4 linked regions of the Struthio camelus genome follow. The protein of the gene in region 1 purifies or fractionates together with the protein of each later gene. This does not show direct contact. Links are inferred from orthologs where the notes say so. Each region holds a gene or a part of one and is shown in the gene's direction. Other genes may lie near its edges.

Region 1 (7,026 bases):
ACCGGGGTGAGGAGGTGGGTTAGTACCGGGGTGAGGAGGTGGGTTAGTACCAGGGTTGGGCGGTGGGTTAGTACCGGGGTTGGGCGGTGGGTTAGTACCGGGGTGAGGAGGTGGGTTAGTACCGGGGTGAGGAGGTGGGTTAGTACCGGGGTTAGGCGGTGGGTTAGTACCGGGGTTGGGCGGTGGGTTAGTACCGGGGTGAGGAGGTGGGTTAGTACCGGGGTTAGGGCGGTGGGTTAGTACCGGGGTGGGGCGGTGGGTTAGTACCGGGGTTGGGCGGTGGGTTAGTACCGGGGTGGGGCGGTGGGTTAGTACCGGGGTGAGGCGGTGGGTTAGTACCGGGGTGGGGAGGTGGGTTAGTACTGGGGTTGGTCGGTGGGTTAGTACCGGGGTGAGGCGGTGGGTTAGTACCGGGGTGGGGCGGTGGGTTAGTACCGGGGTGAGGAGGTGGGTTAGTACCGGGGTTAGGGCGGTGGGTTAGTACCGGGGTGGGGCGGTGGGTTAGTACCGGGGTTGGGCGGTGGGTTAGTACCGGGGTGGGGCGGTGGGTTAGTACCGGGGTGAGGCGGTGGGTTAGTACCGGGGTGAGGCGGTGGGTTAGTACCGGGGTGGGGAGGTGGGTTAGTACTGGGGTTGGTCGGTGGGTTAGTACCGGGGTGAGGCGGTGGGTTAGTACCGGGGTTAGGCGGTGGGTTAGTACCGGGGTTGGGCGGTGGGTTAGTACCGGGATGAGGAGGTGGGTTACTACCGGGGTTAGGGCGGTGGGTTAGTACCGGGGTGAGGAGGTGGGTTACTACCGGGGTTGGGCGGTGGGTTAGTACCGGGGTGAGGCGGTGGGTTACTACCGGGGTTAGGCGGTGGGTTAGTACCGGGGTGGGGAGGTGGGTTAGTACCGGGGTGAGGCGGTGGGTTAGTACCGGGGTGGGGCGGTGGGTTAGTACCGGGGTGAGGCGGTGGGTTAGTACCGGGGTTAGGCGGTGGGTTAGTACCGGGGTGAGGAGGTGGGTTAGTACCGGGGTTGGGCGGTGGGTTAGTACCGGGGTGGGGAGGTGGGTTAGTACCGGGGTTAGGGCGGTGGGTTAGTACCGGGGTTAGGGCGGTGGGTTAGTACCGGGCTGAGGCGGTGGGTTAGTACCGGGGTTGGGCGGTGGGTTAGTACCGGGGTGGGGAGGTGGGTTAGTACCGGGGTGAGGAGGTGGGTTAGTACCGGGGTTAGGGCGGTGGGTTAGTACCGGGGTGAGGAGGTGGGTTAGTACCGGGGTGAGGAGGTGGGTTAGTACCGGGGTTAGGCGGTGGGTTAGTACCGGGGTTGGGCGGTGGGTTAGTACCGGGGTTAGGCGGTGGGTTAGTACCGGGGTGAGGAGGTGGGTTAGTACCGGGGTGGGGCGGTGGGTTAGTACCGGGGTGAGGCGGTGGGTTAGTACCGGGGTTAGGAGATGGGTTAGTACCGGGGTTAGGGCGGTGGGTTAGTACCGGGGTGGGGCGGTGGGTTAGTACTGGGGTGAGGAGGTGGGTTAGTACCGGGGTGAGGAGGTGGGTTAGTACCGGGGTGGGGCGGTGGGTTAGTACCGGGGTGAGGCGGTGGGTTAGTACCGGGGTGAGGAGTTGGGTTAGTACCGGGGTGGGGCGGTGGGTTAGTACCGGGGTGAGGCGGTGGGTTAGTACCGGGGTGGGGCGGTGGGTTAGTACCGGGGTTGGGTGGTGGGTTAGTACCGGGGTGAGGCGGTGGGTTAGTACCGGGGTGGGGCGGTGGGTTAGTACCGGGGTTAGGCGGTGGGTTAGTACCGGGGTTGGGCGGTGGGTTAGTACCGGGGTTGGGCGGGGGGTTAGTACCGGGGTGAGGCGGTGGGTTAGTACCGGGGTTGGGCGGTGGGTTAGTACCGGGGTGAGGCGGTGGGTTAGTACCGGGGTTGGGCGGTGGGTTAGTACCGGGTTGAGGCGGTGGGTTAGTACCGGGGTTGGGCGGTGGGTTAGTACCGGGGTGGAGCGGTGGGTTAGTACCGGGGTTGGGCGGTGGGTTAGTACCGGGGTGGGGCGGTGGGTTAGTACCGGGGTTGGGCGGTGGGTTAGTACCGGGGTGAGGAGGTGGGTTAGTACCGGGGTTAGGGCGGTGGGTTAGTACCGGGGTGAGGAGGTGGGTTAGTACCGGGGTGGGGCGGTGGGTTAGTACCGGGGTGAGGAGGTGGGTTAGTACCGGGGTGAGGCGGTGGGTTAGTACCGGGGTTAGGGCGGTGGGTTAGTACCGGGGTGAGGTGGTGGGTTAGTACCGGGGTTGGGCGGTGGGTTAGTACCGGGGTTAGGAGGTGGGTTAGTACCGGGGTTGGGCGGTGGGTTAGTACCGGGGTTAGGGCGGTGGGTTAGTACCGGGGTGGGGAGGTGGGTTAGTACCGGGGTTGGGCGGTGGGTTAGTACCGGGGTTAGGGCGGTGGGTTAGTACCGGGGTTGGGCGGTGGGTTAGTACCGGGGTTAGGCGGTGGGTTAGTACCGGGGTTGGGCGGTGGGTTAGTACCGGGGTTGGGCGGTGGGTTAGTACCGGGGTTAGCGCGGTGGGTTAGTACCGGGGTTGGGCGGTGGGTTAGTACCGGGGTGGGGCGGTGGGTTAGTACCGGGGTGGAGCGGTGGGTTAGTACCGGGGTGAGGAGGTGGGTTAGTACCGGGGTGGGGAGGTGGGTTAGTACCGGGGTGAGGCGGTGGGTTAGTACCGGGGTGGGGCGGTGGGTTAGTACTGGGGTGAGGAGGTGGGTTAGTACCGAGCTGGGCGGTGGGTTAGTACCGGGGTGAGGAGGTGGGTTAGTACCGGGGTGAGGCGGTGGGTTAGTACCGAGCTGGGCGGTGGGTTAGTACCGGGGTGAGGAGGTGGGTTAGTACCGGGGTGAGGCGGTGGGTTAGTACCGGGGTTGGGCGGTGGGTTAGTACCGGGGTGGGGCGGTGGGTTAGTACCGGGGTTAGGAGGTGGGTTAGTACCGGGGTGAGGAGATGGGTTAGTACCGGGGTGGGGCGGTGGGTTAGTACCGGGGTGAGGCGGTGGGTTAGTACCGGGGTTGGGCGGTGGGTTAGTACCGGGGTGAGGAGGTGGGTTAGTACCGGGGTGAGGCGGTGGGTTAGTACCGGGGTTGGGCGGTGGGTTAGTACCGGGGTGGGGCGGTGGGTTAGTACCGGGGTGAGGAGGTGGGTTAGTACCGGGGTTGGGCGGTGGGTTAGTACCGGGGTGGGGAGGTGGGTTAGTACCGAGCTGGGCGGTGGGTTAGTACCGGGGTGGGGAGGTGGGTTAGTACCGGGGTGAGGCGGTGGGTTAGTACCGGGGTGGGGAGGTGGGTTAGTACCGGGGTGAGGCGGTGGGTTAGTACCGGGGTTGGGCGGTGGGTTAGTACCGGGGTGAGGCGGTGGGTTAGTACCGGGGTGGGGCGGTGGGTTAGTACCGGGGTGAGGAGGTGGGTTAGTACCGGGGTGAGGCGGTGGGTTAGTACCGGGGTAGGGCGGTGGGTTAGTACCGGGGTGAGGCGGTGGGTTAGTACCGGGGTGGGGCGGTGGGTTAGTACCGGGGTTGGGCGGGGGGTTAGTACCGGGGTTAGGAGGTGGGTTAGTACCGGGGTGAGGCGGTGGGTTAGTACCGGGGTTAGGAGGTGGGTTAGTACCGGGGTGGGGCGGTGGGTTAGTACCGGGGTGAGGCGGTGGGTTAGTACCAGGGTTAGGAGGTGGGTTAGTACCGGGGTGGGGCGGTGGGTTAGTACCGGGGTGAGGCGGTGGGTTAGTACCGGGGTGAGGAGGTGGGTTAGTACCGGGGTGAGGCGGTGGGTTAGTACCGGGGTGAGGAGGTGGGTTAGTACCGGGGTGGGGCGGTGGGTTAGTACCGGGGTGAGGAGGTGGGTTAGTACCGGGGTTGGGCGGTGGGTTAGTACCGAGCTGTCGGGCAGCCGGGGCCGGGCCGGGCCGGGGGCGGAGCGGGCGCTGGGAGGCGCCGCCGGGGCCGACGCTCCCCCCGCGCCGGGCCGGGACCCGCCGGGGCCGCCCCGCTGCGGGCGGGGACAGGAGCCGCCGCCGCCGCCGCCGGGAGCGGAGCCGGAGCGGAGGCGCAGCCGGAGCGGGGCCGCCGGGAGCGCAGCCCGCAGGTGAGCGGCGCCGGGCCGGGCCGGGGGTCTGGGGTGACCCGCAGGCGGTGGCAGCGCCGCCTCCAGCCGCCCTGTCGCGGCGGGTGCCGGCTCCGGCCGCAGCTCGTCGGAGCGGCCCCGCTGCCCCCCCGGGGCCGGGTCCCCCCCGTGCCCGGGCCGCGGGTCGGGAGGAAACGATGCTCGTTGCGCGGCCCCGGCCGAGGCTGCGCGGCCCCTGGCTGCTGCGCTGAGTGCGGCGGTGGTGGTGGTGGTGCTGGTGGTGGCAGTGGTAGCAGTGCTGGTGGTGGTGGTGGTGGTGGTGGTGGTGATGGTAGCAGTGCCGGTGGTGGTGGTGGCGGTGGTGGTGGCAGTGGTAGCAGTGCTGGTGGTGGTGGTGGCGGTGGTGGTAGCAGTGGTAGCAGTGCTGGTGGTGGTGGTGGCGGTGGTGGCAGCAGTGGTAGCAGTGCCGGTGGTGGTGGTGGCGGTGGTGGTGGCAGTGGTAGCAGTGCTGGTGGTGGTGGTGGCGGTGGTGGCAGCAGTGGTAGCAGTGCCGGTGGTGGTGGTGGTGGTGGTGGTCGCAGCAGTGGTAGCAGTGCCGGTGCTGGTGGTGGTGGTGGCGGTGGTGGTAGCAGTGCCGGTGGTGGTGGTGGCGGTGGTGGCAGCAGTGGTAGCAGTGCCGGTGGTGGTGGTGGCGTTCAGCCCGGTGCCCTTTCTACTTCGGCGCATGCCGGCCGAGACGAGGCCAGCTCGTGTCCCGCGGCCGCTGCTGGCGCTGGTCGCCCCCGGCTTTCTCAGGCCGGTCGCGTGCCCCTCGCTTCAGACCGCGGCGCTGGGATCTGCGGCTTTGCAGCGCTGGGTTTTTTTCTCGGGTGGCAGCTGATAAAAACGACTGACCGCCCCTTCGTCTTTTTATTCTAGGAAGATGGCAGACGGTTTCTCCGTAAGTACTGATTTTTTTAAGGAAAAAAAAAAAAAAAGCCGGGCCCGTCGCTGTTGCGTTGCACGGAAGTGGAGGGACTATTGCAAAAACGAGAACTAGTCTTTGCTACCCTGCCTAACTCCCCGACCTAGTTAGACCCACGCTAACCGCTAAGCCACTTCCTGGAAACCTCAAATCGCGTTAGCTGCTCACGGACGCTTGCGTGGCCGCGTTTGGCGTGCGATGCCGGCCGCGAAAGACGGCAAGACCCTGCCCCAAAGCCCGCGGCGGTCGGGGGACCCGCAGGGACTCGTGAGCCGGAGCGTCCCGCTCCCAAACGAACCCAGAGCCGCTTGAGACGGCGCTCTCCCCGCCGCCGGCAGCTAGGAGCGCGTCCGCCGGCCGCCCAGCTTTCGCTCCCGGCTCTCCTCTCGCTCCCTCCCGTCTCCTTCCTAACCCTCCTCCTCTGCCCGTGCAGCTTTCTGACGCCTTGCCCAGCGGGAACAGCCCGAACCCCAGCGCTCCCCCGGGCCAAGGTTGGCCCGCGGCCGCCTGGGGCAACCCGCCGCCGGCCCCCGGCGCCTTCCCGGCGTATCCGGGCCCGCCGGGGACCTACCCGGGGCCGCCGGCAGCACCGGGAGCTTATCCGGGGGCACCGTGGCCGTATCCTGGAGCACCAGCAGGACCGGGACCGTATCCTGGAGCACCTGGAGCGTTCCCTGGAGCACCCGGAGCGTTCCCCGGAGCGCCAGCGGGACCAGGGCCCTGTCCTGCCCCGGCGCAGCCGCCCAGCGGCCCTGGCTTCGGGCCGTCTCCTCCGCAAGAGGGACGGGCCGCATCGATGGTAACGGCTCCGTCGGGTTTCAGCCGTGCTTGGCCGCAGGGGTCGAGGGGCCCCGAGCGGGAGCCGAACACCTCCGTGGGCTCACGGGGGCCTGCGGGCGGCCAAGCACCACGTCACCCTGGTGGCGCGGGGAGGGGGGGCTCTGCGGGGACACGCGAGCGATGGGCCGGGATGTTGTGAAGCCACAGCCTCCTGCTGTGCCTCGAGACCCCCCCCCCAGCCCGCGCCCGAGCCCTGGGCTTTGGCTGTATGTTAACGTGCCTTCCCGCCAACGCCAAATCCCTGCTCTTTCCCAGAAAGTCCCGTTCGAGCTGCCGCTGCAGGCGGGCCTCATGCCGCGGATGCTCATAACCGTCACGGGGACGACGAACGCAAAACCAAACAGGTAGCGGGGCGCCGAGCACCCAGCAGCAGCCCTGCGGGCGCAGCGCTGCTTTCGGCAGGCCCTGTAACAGAGGCCGGGGCTTTCGCGGCAAAAGCGGCTAAACCCTTGCTGTCGTTGCAGATTTTCCCTGGATTTCAAGCGAGGGCACGATATTGCCTTCCACTTTAATCCCCGCTTCAACGAGGATAACAGAAAAGTCATCGTCTGTAATTCAATGTTGCAGAACAACTGGGGAAAGGAGGAGAGAACGGCACCTAGGTTTCCCTTTGAAGCTGGAAAACCCTTCAAGGTAACCGCAAAAAAAACCCCCTCAAACCCCTTAACCACACCCAAAAGGGCCAATTTGTTCGGTACATGACAGACGGACAGACACACCCTTTCTCCTGTCTGAAAAATGCAGTTTCTCTACCTGCTTGTAAAAGCAGTTTATTACAGAAGCCTTCAGCCACTCCAGTCCCTCATTTGACTCGACACCATCACTGCCGCATGTTAGGCGTTGTAGCTCTTTATCCCTGCAGACGTCTGGGCAGAAAGTTGCGTCAGCCCCAAAGCTGGGACTTGGAGATCCCACATGGCTGGTGGAGCTGGGCCCCTTAGATGTGTGTCTTCTGAGAGCGGTAACTCGAAAATCCACCTGCAAGTTATGTCCTGGTGGCACCAACATGCTGTTAACGTGCCAGCAGCACCCCTACCACATGCTGGCAGAGTTGTTTCATCAGGGCTGTGTAACGAGGTGGGGAATAACTATAAGGACCTTGATGCTTTCCCACACGAATCTGCTCCCTCTTAG
Region 2 (6,959 bases), on another chromosome or scaffold:
ACCGCAGGGGAACGCTGTTGCCAGAGAAAGTCTCCCGAGGCAGTTCCTCAGCTCCACCACGTTGCCACGTGCCTCCCCAGACCCAAGCAGTTAGCTTTCAGTGCAGGAGCGGAGAAGCAGCTAATCATGAATCAGAGGCCAACAACCAAAAAAGCCAAACGAACGTGCTAGTACAAAGGACAAGGCAAAAGCACGGTCAGAGACCAGGCTGAAGGTCGGGGAGGCCAAACAAAGAAGCAGAACCTAAGATACATAAGTTAACCTTGGCAAAGCCCAGATCAGCAAGCACAGCCTCCGCAACAGCAAGCAGGCTCCCGAGTTACAATCACATAAAGCAAGGACAGGGCAAAGAAAGAGCCCAAACTCAAGAACAAGAGGACAAGAGGCCGGTCTTAGCTGCTTGGGAGACTGATAGGGGCCAGGTGGCTGACTGCAGATATCCACAGAGCCTTGACCTTGAATCAGCATTTTGCAAAAATGTTGAGAAAGAGTACAGGGCATTTGTGAGGGTGAGATAGGCCCCTGAAAGGAGTGCCTGATGCAACAGAAAGCTCACCTTTTTGCTGGGATACTTTTAACCTAATCTAGTTTGCTGATGTAATTCACAGATGCTTATGTTGCTCTAAGGCTGTGGAAGAGGGTCTGCAAACTGCAGTGCCACTTTATATTGACTTAAGTTATGTAGGACTCTTCAAGTCTCAGTGTCAAGCAGAGGGAGAAAAATACTCCAATTACAAAGAAAGTCTCTTAAATTTAGTAACTCTAAAAATAGCAGTTCTTCAAGTAACTTGAATGGATCTCTGGGGATGGCAGGTATGCACAAACTGAGGGTTTAGAAGTGATGAAGAGACAATATATATTGGAGTGTATTCAGGCAATTTATAAGCATTTTAGTAGGCTGCTTGTGATTTGTTCTTCGTGCTATAGAGCTACATTCAGCTGTCTGAGATTTGCAAAATCTCACTGATGATTATTTAGAAATCATTCGGCACAACACAGTGCTGAGACCATTTTAATGTCCATCCAAGCTAAAAATGCTGGCTTCAACTTAGATGTTAACAGCAATAAATCTTGCATAAATGCTGAAAATAGCGTAACTGCTAATTTAAGGATCACACTATTTTCATCATCATTGTAGAAGGCATTTCCGAGACTTGGCATAAAATCCCAGTTCCATTGAAATTTAGAGGGATTTCTATGAACATGGCCAGGATTTTAGCTTTGAAGTTTGTTTTACTTTAAGCGGCCTGTACCACGCATAACTGGACTTCTGAGAGTTCTGAGATCAAACCTAGCACCAGCCGTATCTATTTCAAAAAGGAAGGGAAGACAACTGCCACAATTGTCAGTCTGTCTAACAGACACGTTTCACACTTACTGCATGAAGCTTATACAAATGCCTTTTAGTCAAAGCAGGGTCATTTTCCAGTTGCATGGCCTAAAGCAATGCCAGAATGTCAGGTTTGGGTTAAAATGAAGCTGTGGTGTTGATTATCTGCATGAGATCTATCTAACTACCAATAACTAGGCCATTGTAACTTTTTACAGCTCAAAAACCAGACAATAGCTATGCAGGAGATTTAGTGTTTAACATAAAAACCATCTCTTAAAAGTAGGAAAATATTTATCAGAAAAATGGAAACATCAAAGTAGATATGGCTTGCTCCACTAATGACCTGAGACAAATGAGGAAGCTTAACCTGTGATCTGGGAAGTAAAGAGGAAAAAAGGAAACATTCAAAGAGGCCTTAAGATGATGTTACTATTTATTATAATGATAATACTCTTTTTGATGATATATATAGACCTTGACTGACAGAATTAACAAACTAAGAGTCTTTGCAGCATTAAGTATTGCTGTGTCTCTGGAAACATATACATACATTAAATACATCACTATATAGACAGAGGTGCACTCATTATATTCAAAGAAAGGGTCATGTCTTTCTTTGTGGATTCCTAACTAAAAGAGGAAGGGGGGAAAAACAATTCTTAATCTCTTTTGCATATTGTTAATATAGCCCTTCTAAAAAAGCCATATTTTAAAGCCTCCCTACTTTGATCAACTGTCACTCAAATCCTTCACAAAATGTTGACTTTCCAAGGAAAAAAAAAATCAAATAGCATTAGGGTGGTATATTCATCATGGATGTATCTTAATGTAGACGTTTTAAATATACTGTAACTAAGTGTTCTTGTTCAGAGAAAAATGAAAAATTACCTTCTGAAGCCACCAAACACAGAAGGTTGAGACGATAATAGCAGCTTTTGAATTCACTTAGACTACTTATTTCTCAATACCTGAAGAGGCAAATAACATTTTTATAATGTGTATCTCATACACTAATTCAGCATTGCTAGGTGTTTTTAAACAGTTACTGGGTAAGCCAAGATAAAATGTCACCACCCCTGCTGAGATAAATTATGAAGGGCCTAGACTGTGATATCTGCACATATTAAAACATGCAATAATGCAAAGTGAGGTTTTTTACTTGGTAGTCTCTGTGAAATACTACTAGACCCCTTAGAAAATGTACTCACATGAGTAGCAACTGCAGGGATTGGTATGAGAAACTGTACTAAGCTGGACAAAGCTGAAATGTAACTGTTTAATTATAAAATCAGTCACATTACAATAGTTAATAAACCAAAAAACAGAGATCTCTCTAGAGCTAATTGTTTGTTCCTCATTGCCCTTTGTCATGAAATTTAACAAGCGAGCACATATATTTTATGAGTCATTTCCATGACATATGTTATTTACAAAGGCCCATCATTCAATGAGTACGTTTCCTTTTACAAGTATGGGCTGCTCAATTACCAAGGCTGCAATATAGTGTCATAAAAATTTCAAGTCATACCGAGATGTTGGGTGTAACTAGATGATGTCAATCAGTCTACCTTTTTCTTGAAAACACGCAAAGAACAGTATCTTTCCCACTTCATTCAGGCCAAAACTAAGACTTTAGGATCACTAATCACTTAAGTTCGTTGTTGAGGACAATTACACGCTTTCGGGATCTTTAACCCGGCATACAGGACGGTGCTGCAAAAGAACACATAGGGCCCCAGTCCCAGGACCACTAACGTGCGTTTTCTTTTTACCGTGTGCTTTCTTCCATTCAGATGTGAGTCTTTAATTTCTTCACGTGTCCCTGTGACATGTTATTACTGCAAGTACCCCTCGGATAAACGTACCTTCAGAGAGCAGATCTAAAGCGCGCCTCCAGCGCGGGTGCTCCTTCGCGGCCTACGCTGCTGCGGACGCTGACGGCGGGCCCGTGCCCTGACGGGCGGCGACATCTCGCTCGCATGAGCGAGAGCTCCCCACGTTCATCTACGTTTTTCTACAGGATGGCGAATTTACTGTGACAACCCTGCTTATTTTTCTACACTTGTTTTTGCCCTTCGGGCTGGGAAGCAAGGTAGGAAAACAAATTACACTTCAATTTTGTTGTTATTGTGGGAGAAAGACGGTGAGAACGAGGGCTTCAACACCAAGGCGTGCGAGCTAAGCGTAGGGAATAAAGACACATAGTCCAGCTAATGCCCTAAACGGGATTCCCGGCTGAACCAGCATTAAACCAGCCTTCTCTGCCGCGCCGCGCTCCTCGCCCTCTTTACCCCGATGTCACCCTAGGGACATCGCAAGGGGCAGTCCTTCCCCGGTAAAGCTCCGGGGGGGCCTCGGCACGGCCCCGGCGCTGATGAAGGGCGGGCGCGGCGCCGGCCGTACCTCAGGGCGCGCCCCTCCCCCCGCGGCTTCCGGCCCGCCACCGCCGCCCGCCCCGCCGCTGTCTCAACCGCCGCTCCCGGTGGCCCGCCCGGCCACGTGACAGCACCGCCAGGGGAGCGACAGCGCCCTCAGCCAATAGCGACGCGCCTCCTCGCCTCGCCCCGCCCCGCCGCGCCAGGCGGCCGCGGCGAAGTTTCCTCCTGACAGGAGCGGAGAGGGAGGGGGGCGGGTGGTGAAGCGCGGCGGCTCGGCGGGGCCGGGAAGGGTCCCCGTCATGGAGGAGGCCGAGCCGGGCGAGCGCACCCCCTTGCTGGGGGGCGGCGGGGAGCGCGGGCGGGCGGCGGCGGCGGGCAGCGCCTTCCAGGGGCGGCGGTTGGCCTGCGCCGCCGTGCTGCTGGCCGAGCTGCTGGAGCGAGTGGCCTTCTACGGCATCACCTCCAACCTGGTGCTGTTCCTCAACGGGCCTCCCTACGGCTGGGAGGGGGCGCAGGCCAGCCAGGCCTTGCTGCTCTTCATGGGCATCACCTACTTGGTGTCGCCCTTCGGAGGCTGGCTGGCCGACGCGCTGCTGGGCAAGTTCGGCACCATCCTGCTCAGCATGGCGCTCTACCTGCTGGGCATGCTGGCCTTCCCGGTCATCGCTGCACCGCACACCCGCCAGGGCCTCTGCGGGGACATCCCGCTGTCCCCCGTGGAGAACTGCTCCTCTCCGGCAGCCAACGCCACCCCGGTGCCCTGCTACCAGGTGGGAGCCACCCGCTACTGTGCCGCCGCCACCTTCGTGGGACTGGTCCTCGTAGGGCTGGGCGTCGGGTCGGTCAAGGCCAACATCACCCCTTTCGGGGCCGACCAGGTCAAGTATCGTCCGGCAGCTGCTGCTGTCGTTGGTGGGGGTAGACCTGGGCCAGGTGACGCGTGTCGGCCAAGCTAATGACTTGCCTGGGTTGGGTGGGCAGCGCGCCGACAGCTCTGCAGGCTGTGAGGGGCTCAGATGGCTCAGCCTGGTCCCCTGTGTAACGCAGGCCAGTGAGTTGTTCTTTGCTAGCTGTAACCTTGGCATCTGGGTGAAGTCTGATCACTCACGACCCCTGGTTTCCTTGTAACCCTGCCTTAGGTGTGGTGCCTGATTTGGCTAAGGCTTCCACAGTCTCGAGGAGCAGGGTTGAATATTCCATAGCTGCTAAGTGAATTGTTAAATATCCTCTGTTGTGGAGTTTATACCCAGCTAACTGGACCTTAGAGCTGATTGGGTGAAAGATCCGATATACACTTTAGTTTTGACAGGGATGGAATGAGCCTTCTAGGGCTGTGATCAGCAGCCTTTACCATCCTTCTATAATAAACATTATAGATGTTATCTAAGGATAGATAACAAATACCATTTGAGGCTTAAGGTATGCTCTGTATACTGCACTGCGCCCTTGAGTGATGTTTTTGTGCAGGCTAATGTTGCTCCAGATGACAGGCAAGAAGGTGCTCTCAACATGGTAAATGTATTACCTGGGCTGTTCTCATAAGGACACGTCTTGTAAAACGACCTTATTCAGATCCAGTTCAGTGAGATCATTCATTGGTTCATCACTGCAGAACTAAGTGTTTTTACAGAAAGTATTTGAGAGAGCTCGTAATTGAGTATCACCTGGTATGCGCTGTTGCATGTGTTTTCTACAATCCTATGCATGGTAAGACAGCATGGTGACTGGGGGTGTTGAATCAGAGTATAATTTTTGCTTTACAAATTGACAATTTCAAAGGCTTAGATACTGAGAAGCTTTCCTAACCAAACAGTTCTTGGTGACAAAGCAGGGAAATTACCTCTAATCCAGTTACATGTCTATTTACTGGCCCATTGAGTTCTGGTTAGTGCAGCTATCAGAAATGCCATGAAATTCTTTGTGAGAGGTAGGTTCTACCACAATGTCCATGCCAAATGTACCTCTATTCTCTGTTGTGCAGTTTACATTTTTCATTCTTTGGCATTTCACATATTATAAATTCTGGAGTTCTGGGTGAAAGGCAGTTCATAAATGTAAAACATTATTATAGCCTAGGATTGTATGTCCCCAAGTGTATTGGTTCTGTTTAAGCCAGCGTGAGCCCATCAAGCGAAATAGCTTTAGTATAACTTTATCTTGTAAGGTGTTTTTCAAAATAGACTGCTTATCCCCAGAACACTTTATGAACATTAAATGTAAGAGATAAATAGTGGCAGAAGGAGAGTAAAAGAAGAACCATTGCCAATGGAAGTGTAAGCTGTTGTAGCTAGCGGTGTTTTTTGTTGTTTTTTTTTTTAGGCTTTCCCCCAGGATTTCATTGAAAACAATTTTTCGCTAGGTTGTAGATAATTCACAGTGATTTATGTGGAGTGAAGCAGAAGAAATTTTCCTTTCTTGTTCTTAATAATTAGGAGTGCTCTGCTGAGGACTGGATTTTTCCCCTTGATTTTCTGGCTTTTCTATTGTTAAATACATTACAGCCTACCATTTACCTTCTGCATTTTTGAGCTCTCTTGGGTGGCTTCTCCCTGCATAGGAATGTAGCACCACTGCTGGGTAGGTGGATACATATTGCTGAGAATAAAGTCTGTCTTCCAGAGTCACATTCTTGGGAGGCCAGCATTCAATACAAACGTGTTTTAGTTGGATTTGTGCTGATAAGCTTTGTCCTCTTTCCCTTAAATACCAAACAAAGGGAAATACTATGAATTGTTTATCATGCACTTTAGCTGACATGAACCAGCTTTCCGATGTTGTTAATTGCATTTCATTGCAACTCTCTTTAAAAAAAAAAAAAAAAATTAACATTTTCAATTTTAACACTAACCTGTATTTGGGCAGAGAACCCACATTTAATGATGTTTTTTGTATTTAGAAGAAAATAATCATTTTAAATGTGGAAAATTGGAAACGTACTTCCAATATTCACTTTTTTCCTGAAGTTAAAAAGATGTAATTTGTTAATTTCTGTTAAATAGACGTATTTAGAAGTACTGTTACGAGTGGCTTAGTATCGAATAGCTTTTGCCAGCCAGTTTAGCAAAAACTAGCTGCTGCAAGCTAGTTATAAACTAGCTTTACTTAATTATGTTCATAAGTAAGAGTTGTTTTTCTGAAAGCTGCAAATTGATCCAACATGCTGATCTAAATCTGAACCTGATGGTTCTCAGAATAGTGTTTATAAGCATGTGATATACATATAAATATATATATATATATATATAACC
Region 3 (6,941 bases), on another chromosome or scaffold:
CAGCCAACTTCTTTTATAACAGAGCAGGCACACAGGAATGCTGAAGCTGCTGCTGCTTTCATCCCACAAACCAATGTGACTACAAAATTTTGATTTTGTTCAATCTGCCTCAAAAATGCCAGTTCAGCAGTTGCACTGACTACATTGGCAAGGTCGAGTTGCGTCAGGTTGTCATAAGGCTTCCACTTCCACATGGTTTGACTGCATGCTAAGGTGCACAGCCTGACACTTTGCTTCAGGCATGTCTTAATGATCACTATAAATATGGAAAGCTACTGCAGCATCTCTACAGAAATGTCCTAGGTATGAGCCCTGGGGCAATGAGAACACTCTAGCTTTCAAGATGTTGGAGTGCCCTGTGACGTGCTAATCTAACTGCGTTCTTGGTGGCAGTGATAACAGACTGTAAGGAGCCATGTGATGGCAGATTGCAACGCCCCCGGGTCACTGAGGAGAGGCAAGTTTTCAACAAAGTAAATTTTAGAGCACTTCCACCTGACATGGTGCACAGGAGCCTGGGAAACACTTGTTTCCACCCAAGAAACAAAAAGCACAGTGTGGCTGGCTTGGGTATTGGTCATAGGATGAGACAGAAGTATTGGAAAGGTCAGGGAGGTCTAGCCGTTTGAGGGCAACCTTCAGATTGCAAAGGTATCATACTAAGCTATTTGTTATGGATAACACCACATCCTTTTTTGAGTCATTCTCAAGATAAATGTTCTTACTGCAGTCCTGATCCTCGGCTGTATTTATGGCTATATTATAATGTCTTTATCTGGTCAGTTTGTATTATAAACATTGCCCCCCCATGCTTATTACTTCAATCTTTCTATCACCCACAGATTTTACCAGAAAATCTAAATGGCTGAAGAACATATTAAAGTGTCAGAGCAAATCCTCATCTGCCTTGCTCCCTGTCTTGCCTTTTGATATCTTTCCGCCTCTGCTAACACTTGCGATCTGTCAGGAACCTGAAACATGTGCAAAGTACACGGAGTACACGGAGTTTCCAACCAAATTTCAATTGGTAGCAAATCAACGTCTTGGCTATATTCACGTGGGCTGTAACAACAGAAGAAATTCAATCATCTTTCCTCAGAACAAAATGAACTAGTATCGAGCCAATTAGCTCAACTTTCATGAGTCACTCTTTCCCCCTTTTTTAGGTATTGAAGCCTAGGTATTGATATGGGCAATCATTCAATCTTTTGGAATTTTCCCAACTTTTCAAGAGATCTAAAAAATTAGCATTCCTGACTCAGACAGGTCCTTGGCTTGGAGTCATTTTAAGACTCCTGTACATAAATTGTATAAGCCCTGATGAGTTGAAAAGTGTCTAATTTTAGTTAATGCATCACTTTCTCTTAAAAAGGTTTTTATTGTGTCAGTCACATAGACTATGAGCTGGATATATTAAACATTTTTCTTTCCTACCTTGCTATTTTTGAATTTACTTTTTTCCTGTGACAGTAACTGGTTTTTTTTTGTTTTGTTTGCCAATGATTTATTTCTAAAATCTCAATAATATTAAAGGCAGTAAGAGTTTTAAAGTTTTTTAATGGCTTAACAAAATTATTAATTTCCTTCAGCTGCTGTCTTGTTTTAAATGTATAACCTATTCATAATTAGCATTCATTTAATCCTTTTTCTATTCTTGGTATGTAGGCTAGTTTCATCATACTTTCACATCTCCTTTTCTGTTCTGTGTTCAGTTTTTTCTGAGCGCTCGGTAGAATACTCTCCCCAAACCGCATTTTTGTTAACAAAAGGAATGCCTTTTCAAGGTCCATCTGGATATGTCTGCTTGAATCCATGGTGTACCTGCTGCATTCCTACCTCACCGCAGAGAAAGACGGTGGTGGTCCAGAGCTCTGTGTTTTAAGTTAATGTGTCACCAATCTGAAGCTTTTATTTTTTAATCCTTTAAGAAAAACCTTAATGCCATGATTACAGCATTCTGTATTTTAGACACAGGTCTATACAATGTTCTAATCTTATTCTGCGTTTCTCTTATTTCTTATTCCTAGAAGGGTAACATCAGGCTACTCTAGTGTTAAAACTTGCATGTATCACAATCCTACTTATCTCATACTATTTGAAAGGAAATGAAAATAAATTGACCTAACAATTAAGGTACTTTTGCTGGTCTCAGGTCCCCATTGTGCAAAGACTTTTGTGAGGCTCAAAAATCAAAGCTCTCAGATGACAGGGGACGCACAACCCCTGCACGACCTTACCATCCCTGCTCCATTTTTCATCAAATGGCTCTCTGTGGTTATGGCAGAGGAAGCAGAAGGGACTTGTAAGAGAAACTGCAGCCTCTGCTCATGCAAACGTTGGTTCAAAGCGTCTCTTTCTCTGGCTCTGAGCTATTACATAAAAGTTGTATCAGGCTGAGTTCAAATTTAATGCAGCAATCCCAATTTCCCCACCACGACCTTTCATGCATGCACTGTGTCACACAGTTTTCACCTTCTTTATTGTAAATGAGTTTCTTTTGGTGGACTTCTCAAAGTACTTAACAAATGATCTGTTTAGATATTTAGCTATTTAGAATTTTCTTCTCTTCTCAGTGCTCAGCACGTAGTCCCATGTCTTATATATTGCACGGCGGCCAGTCTGTGTTGCAGAGAGGGAGTTATTATTTTCCAGATATGCTTTTTAATTACATCTACCGTTCTAATTTATCACACCTGGTTTCTCAGCACCATTAATTTTGATAATAGCCTGTACGACGAGGAAATGAGATTTAAAGTGAAAAAAGTGCAAAAACATCCCTGCCTCTGTAGTAACACCAGTAACGGATTAGAAATCTGCTATTACTAACAAAGTCACCCTCCCATTTGCTTTCTCGAGCCTAGAAAAAGGTGGGAGAGGATGAAGACACAGGTCCCCAGCACAGAAGCTCCTTTTCCGTGCAGCCACCGTTCCCATCACTGTGGTTGCAGGAAGGCTTGAATGAGCTCCTACTGGATACCAGGCTATTATCATGCCTCTCTCCTCCCCTTCCCTGGCTGGCCTGACCTGCCGTCTGCCAGCCCACCTCCAACGCCTGCCATCTCCCTATCACCTCTGGTGGCCACCTCCCTTCCTTGGAGGCCTCCGCTCCATGGGAGAGGCGCTAGCGTTGAGTAGACACCATCCACCCCACCGAGCATGGGACCCACAAACCCCTCAGAGTCTCCTCCCGAAAGGCAGGGATACAGAGGGCCATGTCCCAGCGGAGCGGGCACAGCCCTGCTCAGGGTAACCAAGAGCTACAGCTCGTCCCTGATGCCACATCGTTCATCCTGATTTTGGGATACGCTGCTGATCCCTGCTGTCTCTTGGGATCAGCTGCACGCCAGGCTCACGGCCACCTGCAACCCCTGGCTGCTGCACAGGAGAGCAGGTTTCGGGGATCCACCTTCCTCCCACGGTGGCCTCAAGGTGCCCTGAGGGCTTTCTCCTGCGCTCATCCCAAAGGCGACCTGCACAGCTCCTGCTGGGGCCGTCTGGATGCTGCTCCCCCCCTTCAGACCCGGAGGACCCAGGCCCCGAGCCGGGCTCTGCCTTCCTTTGGAAGACCCATTCTGCCCGCTGGGGTCCGAGCAGCACCAGCCGCCACTGCTGCTGCCGGGCACTCGCCAGGCGCCATTTCACCGCCGAGAGGAAACCCCTGTAGCGCCCGGGGGGGGGGGGGCCATGGCGGGCCGCGGGCAGCGCCGAGCACCACGGAGCGGGGCAGCGCACACCCACAGGCAGACGGAAACCTCCCGCCCAGCCGCCGCGGGTGTAAGCCCGAGCCAGGCGCGGCACGGCACGGCACGGCGCGGCGCCTCCCCCCAGCTTGCCGCCCGGGGTGGCCGGCGCGGTCCGGTCCGGTCCGATCCGGTCCGGTGCGCTGCGGTGCGGCCCGGCGCCTGGAGCCGCGCCGCCGGGGGGGCGGGGCGGGGCGCGGGGGAGGCGGCTCGGCGGCGGCGGCCGCCCCCCGCTGCGTGAGGAAATGGCCCTCACGTGAGGGAGGCGGCAGCGCCCGGCTCGCCGCGGAGGAGGCGGCAGCGGCGGCAGCTCCGCGGCAACCAGCCATGCCGACCAACTTCACTGTGGTGCCGGTGGAGGCGCAGGGCGAGGAGCGGGACCCGCCGGAGCGCGATGGGCGCCGGCAGCCGCTGAAGGCGACGGCGGAGGAGGAGGAGGAGGACGAGGAGAGGGAGCGCGGCGCCGGTGAGCGGGGGCGGGGAGGCGCCCGGCACCTGGGCGAGGGCTGCGCGGCGCAGCGGGGCCGGGCCCGGGGGGGGTCGCGCTGCCCTCGGCGGAGCGGGGCGGCTCCGCGCCCACCTGCGCAGGCGGGAGGCGGCGGCCGGGGCCGGGCTGGCCTGGCGTCGCCCCGGGGGCAGCATCGCGCCGGGGGGTGGCGGGCGGGCGGGCGCGTCCCGCGGCGGCCTGGAGGCTGCGCTGCCGCCCGGGCGGGCAGAGCTGTGATTCAGCGCCGCCGCTGTCCCGTCCCGTCCCCCCCCCCCCCCCCCCGGCCTGCCCGAAAGAGGCTCGTGCGGCCGGTACCGCTGCGCCTTGTGCAGCCTGCGCCAGGGAGGAGCACGCGTGAGGTGGTGTGGTCAGGGGTGCGGTTTCTGGGGGGCCTGGGACACGAGGAAACCCCCTTTTTGGGGGGGGGGGAAGAGTGGAACTCGCGTTTTCATAGTGGTTTATTTCTAATCGTTAAAACGGCAAGAATTCTTAGTTTTTCGTGTGGGTAAGTAAGGGTTTGTGCAGGCTGATGCTTGCAAAGTAAGTCTAACCCATCTACAGTTGTACAGCGCTGTTGCTTGAGAAGATGAACTTAAGTAGGACTCTCTTTTTTTTCCCTCCTCTCTTAATGTATCCCTAAAATAAGGAGTAGAGGGGAAAGCGCTGACTGGAGAAGGCCTCGACTTGAAAACAGGGTCTGCTCTGGGAGCTCAGGGTCTGCTAGCAGAGACGAAATGCCCTAGAGCCGTAGGGAGGCTTGGGAGAGGAGCCACGTACTTCACGTTGCCTCCGGTGTCATGTGGACATCTGTGGCACGCGGACCTGTCAGGCACAGAAGTTGTTAGATTCCTGCTGTACAGTCAACTAGTTTGCCTGGACGCCTTCCTCTGACAACTGTAATGAATTCTAAAATACCAGTACTGCTTCTAAAGTCCTCGTGGTTAAACCCATCTCACGACCTGCTGCTCAGGGGCAGTGCTTGCCTTTCTCTCTGCCCTCAGCTCTTGGGCAGAGGGTAGGAAGAAACACTCCTCCTTTCCATCCCCCCTCCTCAGCTCCCTTCCCTTCCTGGGTGCTTGACCCTAGTGCTTGTCAGATACCTCATGGAGCTGGTTCAACATGCTAAACCAGCAGAAAACTCGGCTCTTGCAGAGGAAAAACAGCCTTCCCCCGCTTTGGAGTTAGCGAGGTGAATGAGCACTGCAAGAAGCCTGAGATTGTCTCAAGGGTTGCCAGGGTTGTCTCGAGGTGGGCGGCTGGTCCGTGTGGCTGAACAGCAGTGGGAGTGCGACCTTTCCTGGTGGGTTCCCCCATAAGGTGTACAGCTCAGTAGGTAACTTTGTTCTTTTTGTTTAGGCTATCTAGAAATTTAACGGTTTTGATTGAATTGCCTGGCTTAAAAACAGAGTAATTGTTCTGGAATTACCCTGACTGCACTAGTGCGTTGTTAAATAACCCACCCACCCTGCTGTTTAGTCATTAGATCACCAGTCAAGTAGTTCCTGGTGACTTATTAGCAAGCTGTTGATCAGTTATTCCCTGCCCTTCTTACTGTACACAGATTCTCATCTGATACTCGTCTCGTTCCCAAGAATGGGGTAAGCCAGGATATTCTTGCTCCGTGTTGTTCGCTCCTTCATAAACATCTGAAATGCTAGCCTTGTATTTCCTAGTTGCGTGCTACTCCTGCACGTGTGACGGTGAGGAAAGCTTAGGTGAGTGACCAGTTGGCTGAACTAGAGCTCTGGTCTCAGCAGCATTGGTGAAGAGCAGAGGTGTAGGGTACAACTTAATGTTTGAACGCCTCAGTGTAGTTGACGGTGGGAGCCTGCTGTCTCGCATATATACAAGGTAACATGAGGAATTTATATCTGCCTGCCTCATTTAATATGCTTTCTAAAACACTAGAAGAGAAGGGTGGTCAGGAGATAGTAACTAGCAGACAAAGACTAATCTCGCTGCCTGCTGTAGTGTATGCTCAGCCAGCTTCTGCTTGGACATGGAACCAGTCTATATCTGGTCTGCGGTTCAAAAACTACTGCACAGAAATACTATATTATATTTTTGTATTCCCCTTCAGAAGACTGGAGAAACTATAAGGAAATGAACACTGAGACATGCAAACTGGGGATTTTAATTTTATCTCCATGTATTACGGGTATCTGTCTTTGTTCTGTTGGTGTGCTTCGTCAGTTGTGTCCGTAGAGCTTCCAGTACTGGCCAAAGTGTGCTGTAGAGGGATATGCATGGGGATATGAGCTGGCAAACCTGATACCGTTTCCACATGCTCTCCCAGGCTGCTACCATTTCTGCTCAGAAACAGAAGAGGCTTCTGAAGCTAGATCCTTCCCCATTTCTGTGAGTTCAGATCTGTAGATTAAATTCTAGACTTGTATTCTAAATACGCTGAGAAGATTTCTCTTCTACTCTCTTGTCGGTTCCAGGGAGGGTTGCGCATACAGTTTTGCACATACAGCCTCTGTGGCAGTAAGTCCTGCGGCTCAGTGGCAAGTCACCTTATTTATTTGCAGATTTACTTTTTTCTGAACCAGTCACCTGATCAGAGGCATCAAACTAAGCTAATTCTTGTCCGTCCCTCTCCAGATCACTTAAAACCCCTATTCTAGTCCCATCTCAACCCAGTCATCTTTTTCCAAACTGAAAACTTACTTAGTCATTCCTTATATGGAAACAGTTGCATACTTCTGGCTGTC
Region 4 (6,907 bases), on another chromosome or scaffold:
TTGCCCCAGGTGCCCCTGGCAAGTGGCAATTAAAAGCTTGTTAAAAAGCTCGTTAGCCCGGCTCATCTGCATAAAGCAGAGATGGCCTTGCTGTGAGGTTGTGCTGTTACAAAGCCAGTCAGGATCGGGAGGAGAGGGGGGGGAAAAAAAAAGCTGCAGCCGGCAAGAAAAAGGTGGGAAAAAAAATCCAAAACCTTTCAAGGGACTGGTAAATCTCAGCTCTCTGGCCGGGTTCAGGCAAGGCAGCGGCTGGAAGGGGGCAGAAGCAGGGGCAGACGCATGCCTGTGTGCTTGCACATGTGCAGCTCCGGATGTGTGTGTATGTGCATACTTGCACAACTGTGTGCTTTGGATGCTTGCATGTGTGCATACTTGCATGATTGGGTGCTTGCATGTGTGTGTATTTGCATTATTGTGTGCTTGTGTGTGTGCATACTTGCACAAACACATCCTTGGGTGCCTGCATGGTTGCACTTGCATGGTCACATGCTTGGGTGCTTGCACATGTGCATACATATACAGTTATGTGCTTGCATACTTGCATGACTGCATGCTTGTGCAATTGTGTGCTTGGATGCTTGCACATGTGCATGTCTGTGCAAATTGCATGCTTAGATGCTTGCAGGATTGCATATGTGTATGGTTGCATGTTTGGATGCTTGCACATGTGCATACTTGCATGGTCATGTGCCTGGATGCTTGCACGTGTGCCTATTTGTGCATTTGCAAGCTTAGATACTTGCACGAGTGCATGATTGCATGGTCATGTGCATGAATGCCTCCATGAGTGCATACTTGCACGATCACGCGCTTTGATGTTTGCATACTTGCACAGTGGTGTGCTTGGATGCTTGCAGGTGTGCATACTTGCATGACTGCATGCTCAGCTGCTTGCATGTGCACATACTTGCTCAGCAACATGCTTGGGTGCTTGCACATGTGCCTATTTCCGCAGTTGCATGCTTGGATGCTCACACAAGTGCATACTTCCATGGCCTCGTGCTTGGATGCTCGCACACATGCATACTTGCACAATCGCATGCTCGGACGTCTGCAAGTATGTGTATGTGCACATTTGCGCGCTTGCGTGTGTGCAGACTTGTATGGTTATGTGCTTGGATGCTTGCACACATGCATGCTTGCACACTTGTGTGCTCAGATGTTTGCATACGTGCACAGTTGTGTGCTTGCATGTGTGCAGACTCGCATAGTCACGTGCTTGGGTGCTCGCACACATGCATACTTGCACGATCGTGTGCTTAGATGTTTGCACGTGTGCATATGTGCACAGTTGCGTGCTTGCGTGCGTGCAGACTTGCACGGTCATGTGCTTGGATGCTCGCACACATGCATACGTGCACAATCGTGCTGGGATGTTTGCGTGCGTGCATACTTGCCCGACCCCATGCTCGCATGTGCACATACGTGTGCGAGTGTGCGTTTGGATGCCCGCCTAGGCGCCCACGCTCGCACATAAGTGCACGCTTGCGCGCCTGCATCCTCGCACGCTTGCCCAACCGCCCGCTTGGCGATACCCGCGGCGTGGGAAGGGGCCGGGCGCGGGAAAGCCGGGCCGCGGGGATGCGGCGGGAGGGGGGGGCCGTGCGCGGAGGGCCCCCCCTCGGCCTCCCGAAAGAGTTAAAGGCGGCGAGCGCGGAAGCCCGGCCCTCCGCCGGGCCATTGGCTTTCCCGGCCCAGGTGCATCCTTCGCTCCCTAGGCCGCGGCGGCGGCGGCGGCACGGGCGGCCGCCGAGGAGCCGGGACCATGGTGAGTGGGTGCCCACCCGCGACCCCCCCCCCAGCTCGGGGTTGGGGAGGGGGCGCCTTTTAGCCGCTTTTCCTCCCCCTCCCTCCTATTAATTTATTTTTTGGCAAAACTGAGATTTTTTTTTGTTTTTTTCCCGCTCCGCTCGAGGTGGCCGAAATCCCCCCAAATCCTGGGGGCCCGACCCGGGCCAGCGCCGGGGTCCCCGACCCCAACGCCGCCCCCGCTAGCTCCCCCCCCCCCCCCGGCGGCCTCCTCAAGCCCTGGCGCTGGGTGCCGCGGGGGGCTGCGCGGGGCAGGTGCGAGCGATTTTGGGGCGCTTCAAGGCCCCAATCGCGGGTTTTTCTTCTTTTTTTTTCTTTTTTTTTTTCTCTCCCGCGCCGGAGAGGGGAAAGCGGCTGCGAAACGGCGCCCGGAGCCGCCGCATCCGAAATGGCGCCCGGGAGGGAGCCGGCAGCGGCCGCTCCCCACCCGCGCCGCCCGGACGCCGGGGCCCCCCGCCCCGCCGGTACCCCCCCCCCCCCAAAATCAGGGCGCCCAGGGGCAGAGGCGCCGCTCGCTCGCCGAGCCCGAGCGGCGGTTTTTTCTCTTTCTCCAGAGCCAATCTTGGGGGGGGGGGGGGGGGGTTAAAATTTTTTGAAGGAAAAAGGGGCGATTTGGGCAAAAGAGCCCGTCTGGGGGCGCCGCTGCGGCCCGAAGCGCCCCGTTTCCCGCGGCGTGAGCGCCCACGGGTGCCCCGCGGCCAGGCCCCCCGCGGATGCTCCTTTCGGCCCACGGCGGGCACGTCGGTTTTGGGCGCCGGCGGAAGGCAAAAAGGAAAAACGCCTGTTGTTTGTTTATTTATTTATTTTCTTGGTCTTTAACTTCCTCCTTCCTCTCCGGCCGGCGCCAAGGAGGGTTTGGGGGATTTCTTTCTTTTTTTTTTTTTTTTTCGTTCTTTTTTTTGTCCCCCTCCTGTCCCCACGCGATGCCGGGCCCCGCGGGTGCTGGGTTACAGCCGCCGAGCCGGGCGGGGGGGACCCTGCGGCGGCACCGCCGCTTGGCCCCGCGGTCGCCCCGCTTCCGGCGCCGGGGTGGCTTCGCTGCCGTCTGCTCTGGGGTTGTGCTCGGGCCGGCCGCCAGCGAAAGCCCGGTTTTTCCCGGCGTTTTCGAAAGAAAGGGAGCGCCCAAGGCGCGTTTCCGCAGGAAACCGAATTGGAGCGCTGGCTGGCGGCTCCCGACTCCGGGAATTTGCCTGGGACGGGGTTGGGGGGGGGGGGATGCGCGGGAGCCGCGGGCAGGAATTTCACGCCCGCAGCTGCAGATTTCAGCCCGGCATGTGGCGCAAAAACAGCAGGAAAAACCGAGGGAGGATGGAGGCGGGGGGGGGGAAGCGGATTTTAGTGATAAGAATCCTGCCGTGGGAGCTTTTGCCCCTTTTTTTTTTTCCTTTCCGGCGCGGTCGGCCCGTCGAGGGGGGCCGCGGGCGCGAGTTTGGGCCCCGGCGCTCACCTCCCGGCCCATCTGCACAAACAGCTTTTTCGGCCCCGTTTTTTTTTTTTTTGTTGTTGTTGCTGTTTTGGTAGGTTGTGCAAGCGCCCGTGCCGGTCCGAGCTATGCGCCGGGGGCTAATTAAATCCAGGGCCCTGGCGGTGTCCCGTTAGCCGGGGCGGTGGAAAGGATGGGCTCAATTATTAATTGTGCAATCGGAAAAACTGGCTCTAGGCAAGGCCGGCGGGGGGGCCTGCGCGAGGGGCTGGCCACGAGCGTTCCCGCGGGAGCGCGGCTCCGAAAAATCGGGGTGGGGGGGAAGAAACACCCCAGCCCTGCAGCTGGCCGAGGGAGGCCGGCTGGCAAAGGTTAACGGCGTTGGCGGTGTGTGGGAAGGAGGCGTTGGCGGCCGGAGGGGAAGTTCCCACCTCTGGGGCCCGTTGTTCACCCCTGCGGCTGAGCCCTGGCACTTTCATTTCACTCGCCGGTTCTTCTGCGCGGTGCTGGTGGGAAAACTCCCTGGCCGGGTAAGTGTGTCCCCCTGCTGCCAGCGCAGTCTTTGCACAGTCTCCCCCGCCAGTCTGGCCCGGCCGGTTGGGCAGTGGGGGAAACTGAGGAGCGGAGCCAAGCGAGCCGCTCGGGAGCATCCTCCCCTGCAGAGCTGGGTTGCTCTGGTGCCGTCCCGCTCCGTGCGCTGCCTCAGTTTCCCCTCTGGGAACGCGCTTTGCGGCAGCGCTGGGCAACCAAACCGAATCACGGAGGCGCCCGGGGCCGTGGTCAGGCCCGAGGGCGCGAGCAAGGCGGTAGCCTCGGGAGGAAACGCGCTTGGCGGCTGCCTGCTGCTTTCTCCGGCGCCATGGTGGGGGCTGGGGGGGCAGCAAAAGCAGCGCTCGCCTTCCCCCGGGGAAAGGGAAAGTTTATCTCCGGCTGTGGAGAGCTTGCGAAACCTGGCGGTGCGTTGGGCTTCGCTCACTCTTTGGCCTCCTGAAGTCCCTCCGGCGCCTAATTGTGCAGCTGCTTTGCATCGGGGAGGCAGTCCCCCGGAGGGGGGAGTGTTTATAGCCTGGCAGGGCACGTGTCGCCTTCCTCTTCCTCTTCCTCCTCCTCCTCCTCCTCGCTGGGCCCGGCATGGCCGGGGCGCCCCGATGCCAGCAGCAGGGACGCTGAGGGCCTCCGCTCCGCTTTTCACCTTGCAGATGTCGACCTACAAGCGGGCGACGCTGGACGACGAGGACCCCTTGGAGGCCGACGGCGATGCCTACCCCAATGGCTTCCAGGTAGGGGCCGGGCAGGGTGGGGGGATTTTTCGGTGCTTGTTTTGCTGGGCTGGGCAGCGCCAGCTTCCCGCCGTCCCCGGGGCAAAGTCCCGGTTGGGATGGCGTGGGCAGGTCCCCGCCAGCTGCCCTTTGCTCCTCGCCCTCCAGGGTTGCAAAAGCCCCCCCAAAAAGGTGAGGGAACAACAGCCATCTGGCGAGGGGATGGCAAACACCGGGCCGCCCTGGCAATGTGAGTCCTTTGCGGGCCCCCGAGGCAGGGAGAGTGAGCCGCGGAGATTGCGGCGCCAGGGAGCAGAAGGGAAAGGAAGCGCGGGAGCTGCCTGCCGAGAGACGCGGCTGATCCTCCGACCCGCTCGGCACCCAGGCGAAACCCTGTCGCGGCCCGGCCGGGGCTGGTTCATCCCGCTGGCCAGCGGAGCCTGGCTCGGGGTCCGGGAGCTGCGAGGCTTTTGCCGAGCAATTATCGCGCTGGACGGGGAGCTTTGTCCTCACATAAAAGTCGGATTAGGCTAATCCGGGCGCGTTCCTCCCCGCGCGGTGGGAGAGCCGCTTTGAAAGGGGCCGTGGGTGGCAGGGAACAGCCGATGCCCAGAGAGGCGGTGGCAGCGCTGCCGGCTCTTCAGAAATTCAGGCTCGCACGGAAATATTTGGGGCCTGCCCGGCCACAGGTGGGGCGAGGGAGCGGTGCTGAGCGCTGCGACTGGTGCAAGGAGCCTCCCCACTCAGGAATGGCTTTTCCTGCCTCGAAAGCAAAGATCGCGTTGCTCTGCTGCACCTTTGCTTCCCACGCTGGGGGCTCGAAGGGCAGCCGAACGCGCCAGGGCTCGTCCTTGCGCCGGGACGCGCGCTGAGAGCGCTCTGACTTTTTTTTTTTCCTGCCGGATCGGTGAGCTGAGCCGGCTCGCTGAGCTTTCCCAGCTCTTTAAGCGGCTCGGCCTCCGCGAAACGACATTGATGCCGCCACTTTTGGGTAAAGCGGTGCACACCGGCGATGGGTGCAGAGGACCAAGCTCCGGGCTTTTGCCGCTGACGACTTTTTTTTCTGCCCGGGCGGCTGCGACTCACCGGGCTCCGCGTCCTGCCAGCGTTTCCTCCCATTGTGCCGCCCTTCCTGGTGGGATTTGGAGTCGCGGCCTCGTTCCCGACCCGGCGCGGGCCGGCTCGCTCCACGTGGCCTCGATTCAGCCCACGGGCCGTAAAGCGGAGGGCGGCTCGGAGGGCGGGAGCGCGCTGGTGGGTTTTTCCCACGGTCCCCTGCTGCCGGTGGGTTTTCCCTGCGGCCCCGTGGGAAAACGCCGCTGCTTCTCCTGTTGATTTTTTTTGTTTGTTTGGCTTTTTTTGGTTTTTTTCCCCCCGCCTTGCAGGTGAACTTCCGCGGCTCGCGGAGCAGCCCGGGCTGCTGGGCCGAGCGCACGCGCCTGGAGAAGCAGCTGGCCGCGCTGGTGGCCGTGCTGGCCACCGTGCTGGCTGCCTGCCTGCTGGGCCTCATCTTCCAGTACCGAGCCCGTAAGTCGGCGCGTGTCTCGTGGCGGACAGCGGGGGCAAAAGGGGCCGCTGGCCCGGGGTTTGGCGCCAAGCTTGACCCGCCGTGCCGCCCTCCAGGGCCGCCCGCCGTGTGCCTGTCAGAGGCGTGCATCTCCGTCACCAGCTCCATCCTCAACTCGCTGGACCGGGCGGTGAACCCCTGCGAGGATTTCTTTGGCTACGCCTGCGGCGGCTGGATCAAGGCCAACCCGCTGCCCGACGGCCACTCGCGCTGGGGCACCTTCAACAACCTCTGGGAGCACAACCAGGCCGTCATGAAGCATCTGCTGGGTGAGTGGCTCGGCCGCGTGCCCCGAAACACCGGCCGGGGCAGAGGAGCCCTGCTGAATTTGGGGACCGCGGGAAAATTTGCCTCTGGGGATTTAAGGACGGAGTTGAGGGACCGATGGGGCTCGGCTTGGCTTTCCTTGGGGAGAAAAAGCTCCCTGGGCGAGCAGCAGCCAGCGGGGACCCTGGCAGGCAGGTGCGCGGGGACGCTGTCCCCCCTCCACCGCCGCGGCCCCCGTCTCCGCTTCGCGCCCTGTGCGAACGGAGCAGGTGGCAGCTTCTCCGTGGCCGACCCGTGGGGAAGTGTTTGCTCAGGCTTTGAGCAAACAACTGGCTCCTTATCAGCGCTTTCCGCTGGGGAGGCCGTGCCGGGCGCTGGGGGCGACGAGCCGAAAGGGAAGAGCTTCGGGGAGGGAGAACGGCCTTGCCGCCCAGCCGTTCCCGCAGAAAGCTGGCACGAGGCTCGCAGCGAGAAGGGAGCGGGGCCGCCGGCCGAGCGGTCACGCTCAGCACTTCCATTAATGCCTCTTCACGAGGGGATCCAGGTTAACGAAACCCCTGCCCAGACCCCAGCCGCTTACGC

The links.
Region 2: the proteins of LGALS3 (region 1) and SLC15A4 purify together in Homo sapiens (affinity purification with mass spectrometry; 3 studies listed by BioGRID and IntAct, counting the BioPlex papers as one, with this or other methods). This does not show direct contact. The link is inferred for Struthio camelus from reciprocal best matches to the Homo sapiens genes LGALS3 and SLC15A4.
Region 3: the proteins of LGALS3 (region 1) and SLC12A7 purify together in Homo sapiens (affinity purification with mass spectrometry; 3 studies listed by BioGRID and IntAct, counting the BioPlex papers as one, with this or other methods). This does not show direct contact. The link is inferred for Struthio camelus from reciprocal best matches to the Homo sapiens genes LGALS3 and SLC12A7.
Region 4: the proteins of LGALS3 (region 1) and ECE1 purify together in Homo sapiens (affinity purification with mass spectrometry; 3 studies listed by BioGRID and IntAct, counting the BioPlex papers as one, with this or other methods). This does not show direct contact. The link is inferred for Struthio camelus from reciprocal best matches to the Homo sapiens genes LGALS3 and ECE1.

What each region holds. Positions count from the first base shown.
Region 1 is NC_090946.1:79,452,740-79,459,765, reverse strand, and holds the start of LGALS3 (galectin-3), read left to right. Parts: upstream 1-4,017; 5' UTR 4,018-4,109; intron 4,110-5,006; 5' UTR 5,007-5,010; coding exon 5,011-5,028; intron 5,029-5,485; coding exon 5,486-5,851; intron 5,852-6,147; coding exon 6,148-6,236; intron 6,237-6,356; coding exon 6,357-6,525; intron 6,526-7,026. UniProt on the Homo sapiens protein: Galactose-specific lectin which binds IgE. May mediate with the alpha-3, beta-1 integrin the stimulation by CSPG4 of endothelial cells migration.
Region 2 is NC_090958.1:14,967,550-14,974,508, forward strand, and holds the start of SLC15A4 (solute carrier family 15 member 4), read left to right. Parts: upstream 1-3,941; 5' UTR 3,942-4,010; coding exon 4,011-4,589; intron 4,590-6,959. UniProt on the Homo sapiens protein: Proton-coupled amino-acid transporter that mediates the transmembrane transport of L-histidine and some di- and tripeptides from inside the lysosome to the cytosol, and plays a key role in innate immune response.
Region 3 is NC_090943.1:78,880,123-78,887,063, reverse strand, and holds the start of SLC12A7 (solute carrier family 12 member 7), read left to right. Parts: upstream 1-3,937; 5' UTR 3,938-4,067; coding exon 4,068-4,206; intron 4,207-5,779; exon of another isoform or gene 5,780-5,825; intron 5,826-6,941. UniProt on the Homo sapiens protein: Mediates electroneutral potassium-chloride cotransport when activated by cell swelling. May mediate K(+) uptake into Deiters' cells in the cochlea and contribute to K(+) recycling in the inner ear.
Region 4 is NC_090962.1:8,911,909-8,918,815, forward strand, and holds the start of ECE1 (endothelin-converting enzyme 1), read left to right. Parts: upstream 1-3,887; 5' UTR 3,888-4,380; coding exon 4,381-4,512; intron 4,513-5,876; coding exon 5,877-6,018; intron 6,019-6,114; coding exon 6,115-6,327; intron 6,328-6,907. UniProt on the Homo sapiens protein: Converts big endothelin-1 to endothelin-1.